3 separate regions of the Mus musculus genome follow, and regions 1 and 3 are each reported to be linked to region 2. The links are microRNA targets in miRTarBase. Many come from high-throughput screens and were not tested one by one. Region 2 holds a microRNA gene; each other region holds the end of a gene's coding sequence.

Region 1 (3,104 bases), not on the chromosome of region 2:
TGCCTGGGTGGGGGGAGGCAGAGTTTTCTCCCTAGGATTTTGATTCCTCTTCCACTCATCTCCATCCCTAGGAGTTCCCTTCCCCAAGAACTTCCAGCAGGTCTGCACCAAGATCCTGACCCGACTCTTCCGAGTCTTTGTCCATGTCTACATCCACCACTTTGACAGCATCCTCAGCATGGGGGCGGAGGCACATGTCAACACCTGCTATAAGCACTTTTACTACTTCATCCAGGAGTTCAGCCTGGTGGACCAGAGGGAACTGGAGCCACTGGTAAGGTCATGTCTCACTACCCTGTGCTACCAGTGCTCGCTCCTGAAAGTTCAGATCCAAAGGAGCTGTATGAAACGCCTATACCCAGGGGCTACAACTCATTTATCATTAGATTCTGTACTCTCATAGAGAATTCATGGAGATGTCAGTTTACAACTCCAGATCTGCTGCCATGATTTGCAGCTTAGGGGTGGAGGGGTGAGGCTCAATAAACCCCATGATTTGGCAAGGAGTTGCCTGGCAAGCTGAGATCAAACTAACCCTTCCTTACTTTGTGTCTCTACAGAGGGAGATGACAGAACGGATCTGTCACTGAGTCCAGATCTGGATGCTGTTGCCTGTCAGATGGACCATCTGCAGACAGTGTAGCCTGGAGAGGGGACCCTTAGGAGCCTGTGGGTAGAGAAATCTGAAGGCCTGCTTAAGAGTAGGAACCCTCTATAGACCCAACACCTCTGGACTTCTCAGAAGTCTGTCTGCATCCTAGAATGCATGAAGAAGGGAGGGTTCCAAGTGGGCCACAGAAGAAAAGGAGTTTAGCCCCTCATATTAAGTCCAAGAGTAGGGCAGGCTACCAGGGTTCTGCTCTGATATTTCAACCTTACACTCTACCATGACAGTTCCCAACTCCATGGGGGAATAAGGATGTGGCTGAGTGCTGGCAAGAAAATTATAGAGAGTGAGTGCCTGTTCCTGAGTAAGCAAGTGTGTGTGTGTGTGTGTGTGTGTGTGTGTGTGTGTGTGTGTGTGTGATTGTGGGATTTGTCTGAGAGATCTAGGTCCTTCCAGACACATAGTAGGCTCTCATTATGGATGGATAGATGATGGATGTATAGATAGATGGAGAGGTTAACTATAAGTCCATGACCATTTTAGGAGTAATGACAGCTTAGTGACCCAACTCTGACCATGTGTACAAGTGTACAAATGTGTGTGTATAGATGGAATTGTACCTCTGAATCTTCTAGACTACCATCTTCTATAAACATGAGTCCCTGGCATTTGAGTGGAGGTTAGACAGTGCAGCTTTGCCCTGAGTTCCTTAAACCTCTGACCTATCACCATGTGGGCTGATTTGCCCAGCCAAGGATGTCTATGGATTGTTAGTTCACTCATCTCTGCCTCTAGCAGGGCCTGATATCATTAAGCCTATGAGCCTGGCAGTGGTGGCACACACCTTTAATCTCAGCACTTAGGAGGCAGAGGTAGGTTCGATCTCTGAGTTCGAGGCCAGCCTGGTCTACAGAGTGAGTTCCAGGACAGCCAGGGCTACATAGAGAAACCCTGTCTCAAAAAACAAAAAACAAAAAAACAAAAACAAAAACAAAAAAAACAAGCAAACATATGGTCAGCCTCTTGAGGGTTGGGATTGATCCCTCAGGGTCCCCTGGATCTTGAACTTGGACACAAGATACTTCAATCTCAAACCCAGAATCTACTGACATGACTGAAGGCCAGCACAAAATAGCCCTCCAGACCAGGGAGCCACTGGAACTTGAATGAATTGAAGAATCCAATTTTCTTCTATCTCAGGACACTGAGGATCATGCAACTGATGGAGACCTTCCCATCCTAAAAACACCTGCCTCGGCCCAGCCTCCTGATACATTCAGGCTTCTTGGATTTCCAAGCCACAGCTATCCAGAGAGGCTAGGATGCTTATTCATTAGCCATTACTTAATACCTCCATGCTGAGCCCTCTGCACAGACTCACAGGCAGGGAAACCGGCAGAAATAGGTTTCTGCCCTTCCAGAGCCTTTATCCTGAGAGGCCAGGAGGGCAAGAAGTCACATAAGAATATTGTCTCTGTCTCTCAATATGCATTGGAGGAAATTGAAACCGGTAAAAATTCAAAGCTCTTGACTTCTACTCTAGGGCCTGCTGATTGCAACACCAAGATGCATGTGCAAATAGAGGCTGTCAGACACTCTCCAGGACACAACTGTTTCTGCTTTGAGTAAGGATTTCTAGCCTGATGCCACAAAGCCCTACCACACCCTGGCCTGGCTAGAGATGGCTGCTGAGGCAAACCTCCAAAACCAGGCCCCTTCTTATGGCTGAGGAACTGCCTGCCTTCCAAAGAAACAGTGGGGCTCTCCGGGGCAGCAGGACCTGGGATGTCTGCTGGCTCCAGAAAAGTCCCCAAGGGAAACAGGCTGGCCTGCAGCTTTGGCAATGTCTCAGAACTGAGGACAGTGGGAGATTCCCCCCACGGTGGGCTGCAGAATATATTCTGAAATCTAGGCTGTGAAAAGGGACCACAGGGGAGGGGGGAGGAGGGAAATCTATTTTTGTGAAAAGAAAGATTTTGCTATTTTTTTGTAAAATAAAAGATACAAACTAAAGCAACCACTGGTGGGAAGTGGTGTTCTGGGTGCCACACGTGTCTTGGTGGATTGTAGGAGAGACCGTTAGAGTGGGATTAAGACATTCTGTCCTAAGCTCCTGGACCATATGGGCACAGTCATGACTGACTAGCTACCCAGTGTGGGGACACCCAAGTTCTCCCAGGGCTCTGAGTCGTAGAGTAAGATAAGTCGAGAGCCTTGAGGATGTCGTAGGAGGGCAGTGCAGGGTGTGCCTCCAAGGTACTCATTCAAAGGAGGGAATTGTTCCTTGTTTTGACACTGGCAATGCTGGTTCATGTCAGGGTGGTTTGGAAGAACCGATGGCTAAAAGTGCAGTAGGAAATACAGCCCCAACCCCAACCACAGAACAAGGAGCCCCTCTCAGGACTCAAAGTAGGGGAGGTAGGGCAGGTTTCAATCCAGAGCATATTCCCCAGGAGACAGCTAGAACTCACTGCCCCTAAACCACAACCACTCAGAC
Region 2 (3,104 bases):
CAAGGGCAGCCGCCTACCTGAGCCACCCTCCGCACTGCAATCTTCCGCACCATAGGAGGGACCCGGGCACCAAAGGATGCTGGGATAGACTTCTGAACATTACCAAAGGTGATGGCTCCATATCTGTACAAGACAGGTGGGAGGGTCACTGAGGCTCGGCAGCCATCTGCCAGGCACCCCTTGTTCACAGCCACTTCAGGCCAACTTACCGGTGTAGTCGGAAACGGTCAGAGGTGAAGAGCAGGTACTCAGAAACATTGTGGCCAGTGATGTCAGTCAGGATGTCACCTGTGACCACTCTCATCTGGGGTGGGTGTCCACCCACACTGCTGGGGCATGAGAACCCCGTGCCCTGTGCAGAGCAGGTACAGCGGACTGGCTCATGCACTAGGCGTGGCAGAGAAGGCGCCGACGTCCACGTCTCTGTGGGCACAGTGCAGCACAATGAGATGGGTCACTCATGCCTGTGCCCCCCGGAGCCTTCCCTGAGGTAGTACCTGGCCCAGCAGTAGGTGGCAGGGACATGTTCCAGGCTTGCAGTGAATCCTCATCTGGGGACACGGGTGAGTCAGAAGGGGCGGGTGAGGGCGGAGGTGGCACGAAGTTGGACAGTGGCAGCCCCTGTGTGAAGGACTCCAGGCACATACTGTCGAAGAACCGTGCCGCCAGCAGGCGGGACTCTCCACTGCTTAAGTTCAGCATGGGTCCCAGGGAGCCGTTGGCAGGAGACTTGAGCACACAAGTGGCACCCACACCAGAGGGCAGCCGGAATGTGCTCACCAGCTGCTGGGGGCTGGCATCAGGTGACAGCCGTAATCTGAGGACATGACAGTGAGTTAGGAGCCATAAGTCTCAACTCTTGCCCTGCCCTGTGCTACAGCCCCAGCCCACGGCCTCACCGGTACTCCTGGCGTTCCTCATTGGCATAAGGGATAAAGTTGCCACGGGGCTGGGTGTAGTTGTGGTACTGAGAGGGTGACAGGACCAGTGGAGGTAGGTCACCTGATGGGTGAATACGGAGACCTGAGCAGACTGCAGTTATCTGATGCCAGCCCCAGCCCTAACACAGAGAGGGCTGAGCTTGTGGGGATGACTCCTAAGGAGACAGATCCTCTCATGAGCCCCTGAGTAAGGTTCAGAGTGTGAGGAGAGGAGCTCAGGACTGTTCTACAGGGGGCTGGGAGAAAAATGAAGCCAAGACCCAGGGGCAAGACAGTAGCCTCGCCCCAGACCACATGGGCCAGGCACCCTTACCAATCTCAGGGACAGACAACGCCACAGTCATGGCCACACAGACAAAGAAGGCAGGCAGCAGAATCTGAGAGCAGAGAGCTTTGGAGTTCCGACGAGCACAGTGGAAGCGCTTCACCAGGAGCCCATGGAACTGCCGCATCTTCAGCCACCAGCCCTCGAGTTTGCGGCTGCCCTGGCCCACCTGAGCCAGGGCCTCCATCTCTGCCTCTGTGCAGAGAGGCAGAGGTAAATAGCCAGTCCCACGCCACCCTTCTGGACCCTCCCCAGTTTCCCCATTGGCTTCCACCTTGTAAGCTGACATTGTCTGGGTCCTGCAAGTTGTCAAAGAGGGGACGGTAGTCACCGTAGCCATCAGAGTAGCCGGTGCCCTCCTCCCCACGGGCAGAGCCCACAGAGGATGCAGACTGCAGCGATGCCTGTGACTGTGCCAGCTCTGAGCACCGAGCCAGGTTGCCAGCTTGACCCCCCACAGCTGTCAGGCCCTCTGCCCCAGGCAGCACATCCTTCCGGGACTCCTTCACATCTGCAAACAACAGAGGCGGTGAGGGAGGGAAGGCTTGGGCCAAGGCTCTCCTCTCCAGGACATCTTAGTACCTCAGTCCCTAGTGTCCTCCCATAACCCCAGGCCCTGCCTTGATCCCAGCCTCTAATTCACATACCTACTCACAGGTAGGCAGAGCTACCATACCATCCACCACGAGCCTATCCTGACCCCACTTCCAGAGACTTACAGAGAAGCAGTGTCCCCAGGGCCTTCTGTGGGTAGCTGGACAGACCGCCAGCCTTGGGTGCTCTTACCAGCCTCGCTGTTCTCCAGTGACTGATCTTCTTCAGACACCTTGAGGAACACCTCCTCCAGAGTTGTGTCCATCAGCCCAAAACTGCTCAGATGGAGCGCATCCAGGCTGTGTTCCAGTTGCTGCAAAGAGATCGGGTAAGGCAGCGCCACGGAACGCAGGCAGCGACGTGTCCTTCTTCTCTCCGGGCCCCTCGTGTCCCTAGCCACCACAGCCAGCCCCACACACCTGAAAGAGGCGCTCGAAGGCCCCCTTCTTGACGGCCTCGCTGGGCAGGATGTAGGAGAGCTCGGTGCTCGTGTCTGAGACCAGCAGGGAGGAAGCCACATGCTTGCGGATGAACTGGGACACTTGCGGCTCCGAGCAGCTGCTCAGCCGAGGACAACCTGAGGGGCTGGAAGCCAGCCCTGGCTCTGGGAAGGAAGGGGGAGCAGAAGGGGATGCGTGAGAGGCTGAGGAAGAAGGGGCCTTAGTGGGCAAGCAAGTCGAGATGAGGCTTAGAGGTGTCCCAAGTCCCCATGAAGTGAGGGTGAGGTTGCACCTCTCCTAGGTAAGGAATCATGGGGTACGGAGGACCAGAGGCTGGTTCAAGTAGTCTCAGCACAGACCTTGGGAGGTGCCAGGTTCTGCAGGCTGCTTGACCAATGTGAGGCGGTACCCATCGCCATAGGCTCCCTTGAGGAAGAGGGGAGAGCCACAGCATTTGAGCTTCCCATGGGAGATGATGGCAATGCGATCCCCCAGCAGGTCAGCCTCATCCATGTGATGGGTAGACAGGAGGATAGTGCGGCCTGGGGTAGGCCAAACACCAAGGTAAGTGAACAGACAGGGCAGGCCGAGACACCACCCCCGCCACGGCCAGCCCGCTAGCCTGCTCACCCGGCTTGTACTTCAGAATGAGGTCCCAGATGGCACGGCGAGCATAGGGGTCCACGCCAGCCGTGGGCTCGTCTAAGATAATGGCTCTAGAGCCACCCACAAAGGCAATGGCTACCGAAAGCTTGCGCTTCATGCCTCCAGACAACGTCTGCACCAGTGAGTGCCGCTTGTTAG
Region 3 (3,104 bases), not on the chromosome of region 2:
TTTCATCTCTCCTCAGCTCGAGCACGAAGCTTATCAGTTTGGGATTTGTTGATGTTCATCCCTGTGACATTTTGCCTTTCAAATGGAAAGTTAAGGATTACTGGAGTTATAATTGGATTTGAGTTTAACTGAGACTTTGTTTTTTGTCTTCTCTTAGGTGTGGTGTGGTGGACTTTCTTTGAGTACTGGAATGCAGGTTCCAAGTGCTGTGAGAACACTTCAGAAAAGTGAAAACGGAATGACTGGTTCAACTAGCAGCCTGAACAATGTCACTCAGTAATGGCAACTCAGACTGTTTCCCTTCCCTTTGACTGTGTGGCCTTTCCCACACAGTTACTAACAGATATTTCTGAGTGGTGGAATCAGGTTTTCTATGTTCTGCTTTAAAGCCTGGAGTCTGTTAGATTAACTACCAAATAGGAAGCAGCCATGGAGGTTATTGCCTGCGTCCCAGAATCAAGCAGTTGGGGTGCAGGAGGCTGACATAGTGATATTGAGTAGTGATTAGGAAAGGGGCGGTGTTGAACTGTTTGTGTAGAAAGCCATCTTTCTGTCTCTTAAGCTCCTCTGGTTTGTCTGGTAGGTGTAATTACGCCTGGCGAGCCCTGGGCCCGGGTTGCTAAGCATTAAAAGCTTGCCTTTCTCCCTGCCCTTGCTCTGTTTCTGCTCCTCACCGGCTGTCATTACATGCTACACTGAGGCTTTAAAAACACAAGGTCCCCCAAGGCTTCCTAGAAATTGAAATCTTTGCCTAGGCAGAGAAATTGACCTATGGTGGCTTATTTTAGTCTTTTATAAATAAACTGAGTTTTTGATAGGGTAACTTATGGATTGACTAGATTCATATCACTTTCTCCTCTAAAATATTGTAGTATTTTCTTATAGTTATAACTCAAAAATATCAAGCAGACAGAGAATTTAGGCAGTGCAAAGGAGTATTCTTGTGTGTTTGTGTTGAGTCATTCTGTCCATTCCTCCACCAGCTCCTGGGCACCACCTGAGAAACCGTGCTCTCTAAGTTTGTTCTCTGCTTTGACCCCACTTTTATAGCTGTCTTTGCATCTTTGATAAAACTTCCACTTGAATTTGGCACTGATAATAATTATTGCTTATGAAAGTTTGTGAATTAAGTTCTTTATAAAGGGTAAAAAGCTGTATATTGCTGGGTTTTGTTGTTTTTTTGTTTTGTTTTTTTTTGTTTTTTGTCTGTGTAAGATTATAAAGAAATGTGCCTAAAGTATTCTTTTCTGGAATAATTTGTATGTTCTTTTATAAAGATATGGATTGGTTTACCAGCTGTTTAAAAAAAAAAACATGTGTCCTAGCTGGGCATAGTGGTGCATACCTTTAATCCCAGCACTTGGGAGGCAGAGGCAGGTGAATTTCTAAGTTCAAGGCCAGCTTGGTCTATAGAGTGAGTTCCAGGACAGCCAGGACTACACAGAGAAACCCTGTCTCAAAAAAACCAACCAAACAAAAACAAAAACAAAATGTGTCCTACTTAATTGGTATATGTGTTTTTCAAACAATCATTTGAGGGGTGTTTTGATTTGGTTTGGTTTTTGTTTCTGTCTTTTTGGTCCATTCATTCACTGTTTAAAAGTTTATGATTCTTCCAAAAATGAATATAGTTTCCTTTTTCAAATCTGAAGGCATGTGGGAAGCAGTGAGCAAAACCTGTGGTTATTAACGGAAAAGTCTTTTATTACAAAGTCAATTAAAACTTTTCATTCAAGGTTTTTGAGCCAAACTAGAAGTTGAGATTGTAAAACTGCTTTAAGAACTTTAAAGAAATGAATATTTGATCTCTGATTAATTTTTGAGACTTCTAAATCTCTTCTTGTTTTAAGTTTCTTGGACTTCTGACAAACTTCCCTGGAGAAGTGTTCATTTTTGTTTTCTTCATGTAGCTTGTAGATCATAATAAGTATTTGCTCTTAAAATTTACTACTTAGTAGCATGATTATTTTTGTTCTGTTGATGAAGCAAATTTGACAGAATATTATTTCTCCATATCACACATATCTACACTATTATCTGATAACACACTGGTAGTTTTTAAGACTAAGGCAGTTTATAGAATGAAGTATATCAATATTCTTTTGGTTTCCCAAAGCAATATTTTACTTTTCATTTATTATAGTTTGAAAGACATTTTTCATTGTTCCATTACCTATAGAAATGGTATTTCATGACCTAGGGAAAAAGGAATTACTCCTTTTTGTAGACTCATACCTGAAAGCAGTGATTTACTAGAATTGCTTTGTGTGGCTACTAAGTTTATTTTGTCAAAAATGACAAGGAAAAAGCCAGCTGTTTTCATAGACCTTTTCATTATGATACTGTATCTTGCATAGTTGAATCTTCTCATTTATACAGTGCCTTTTTCTCATGCTCATTGTCTACTGACTTTAAGGCAGGCAACACTGGACCATAGTGGTGCAGGCCTTCTATTGAGGCCAGAGGAGCAAGTGTGCTTCTTCCTTGTCCTTGTCCCATCATTGAGACCTTCATCTACAGTTTCCAAACAGTCATTGGAAAACGCACGACAGTTACCCAGAAGGTTTTATTTCTCAGCAGATTTGTAGAATGAAGTATAACGTCAGTGAATGAGAGTCCAAGTTCTTATCACACGATATTAGGTACTAATTATACCCTCATTGCTTTAAAATACACATCAGGGTCTCTTTTAAAAATAGAACAAATCTGTAGTATTTAAGTTTAAAAATCTTAAGTTTATTATGTTAAATTGAATTTTGTCAACCCTTCTTTTTAAATTAAAATAATTGAATAGAGTGCCTAGTTAAATTTTCTCAAAGCAAGGTAACTGCTCAGCTCAGTCAGCTGTGGCAAGCTGGCCAGCCCTCTTCACTCCAGCGTTCTTCACTGCTCTATGTCTGCTTACACAGCTTGGACATGGCTGCTTTCCATGAAGGAAATATAGGGGAGGTGGACTGTAAGGGATATATAACCAGTGTGAAGAACTGCTTCATAAAATATGTATTAAGTATTGTATTTCCCTCTTAGCAGTTGAATCCAAACCAGTTTCATTTAGCTGGAAGTAGACAGGAAGGAGCTGCCTTAAGCACTTTAGAAAAAGAATT

The links. The annotated mature microRNA mmu-miR-3087-3p reads UAACUCACUGUCAUGUCCUCA and lies in region 2 at 819-839, opposite strand. An mRNA with a match to its seed (bases 2 to 7 or 8) in the 3' UTR can be bound and repressed. Matches are read on the target gene's strand: a 7mer-m8 pairs with bases 2 to 8, a 7mer-A1 pairs with bases 2 to 7 and ends in A, and an 8mer does both.
Region 1: miRTarBase lists Mob3c as a target of mmu-miR-3087-3p. Seed matches in the 3' UTR shown: 7mer-m8 at 1,522-1,528.
Region 3: the mRNA of Fsd1l is a reported target of mmu-miR-3087-3p. Seed matches in the 3' UTR shown: 7mer-m8 at 1,415-1,421.

The regions. Positions count from the first base shown.
Region 1 is chr4:115,833,562-115,836,665 of GRCm38, forward strand. Mob3c (MOB kinase activator 3C) reads left to right here. Exons shown (of 4, transcript NM_175308.5): 3 at 72-274; 4 at 561-2,624. The coding sequence ends at 590. Among named protein-coding and RNA genes, the nearest start is that of Mknk1, 4.1 kb to the right of the region's middle.
Region 2 is chr2:25,440,548-25,443,651 of GRCm38, reverse strand. It overlaps Mir3087 (microRNA 3087), which reads right to left and starts at 873; the gene lies at 818-873. Abca2 (ATP-binding cassette, sub-family A (ABC1), member 2) reads right to left here. Exons shown (of 49, transcript NM_001368624.1): 23 at 2,931-3,104; 24 at 2,660-2,842; 25 at 2,280-2,464; 26 at 2,053-2,173; 27 at 1,541-1,777; 28 at 1,255-1,461; 29 at 900-1,002; 30 at 498-817; 31 at 210-423; 32 at 18-123.
Region 3 is chr4:53,700,884-53,703,987 of GRCm38, forward strand. Fsd1l (fibronectin type III and SPRY domain containing 1-like) reads left to right here. Exons shown (of 13, transcript NM_001195284.1): 13 at 158-3,104. The coding sequence ends at 280. Among named protein-coding and RNA genes, the nearest start is that of Fktn, 12 kb to the right of the region's middle.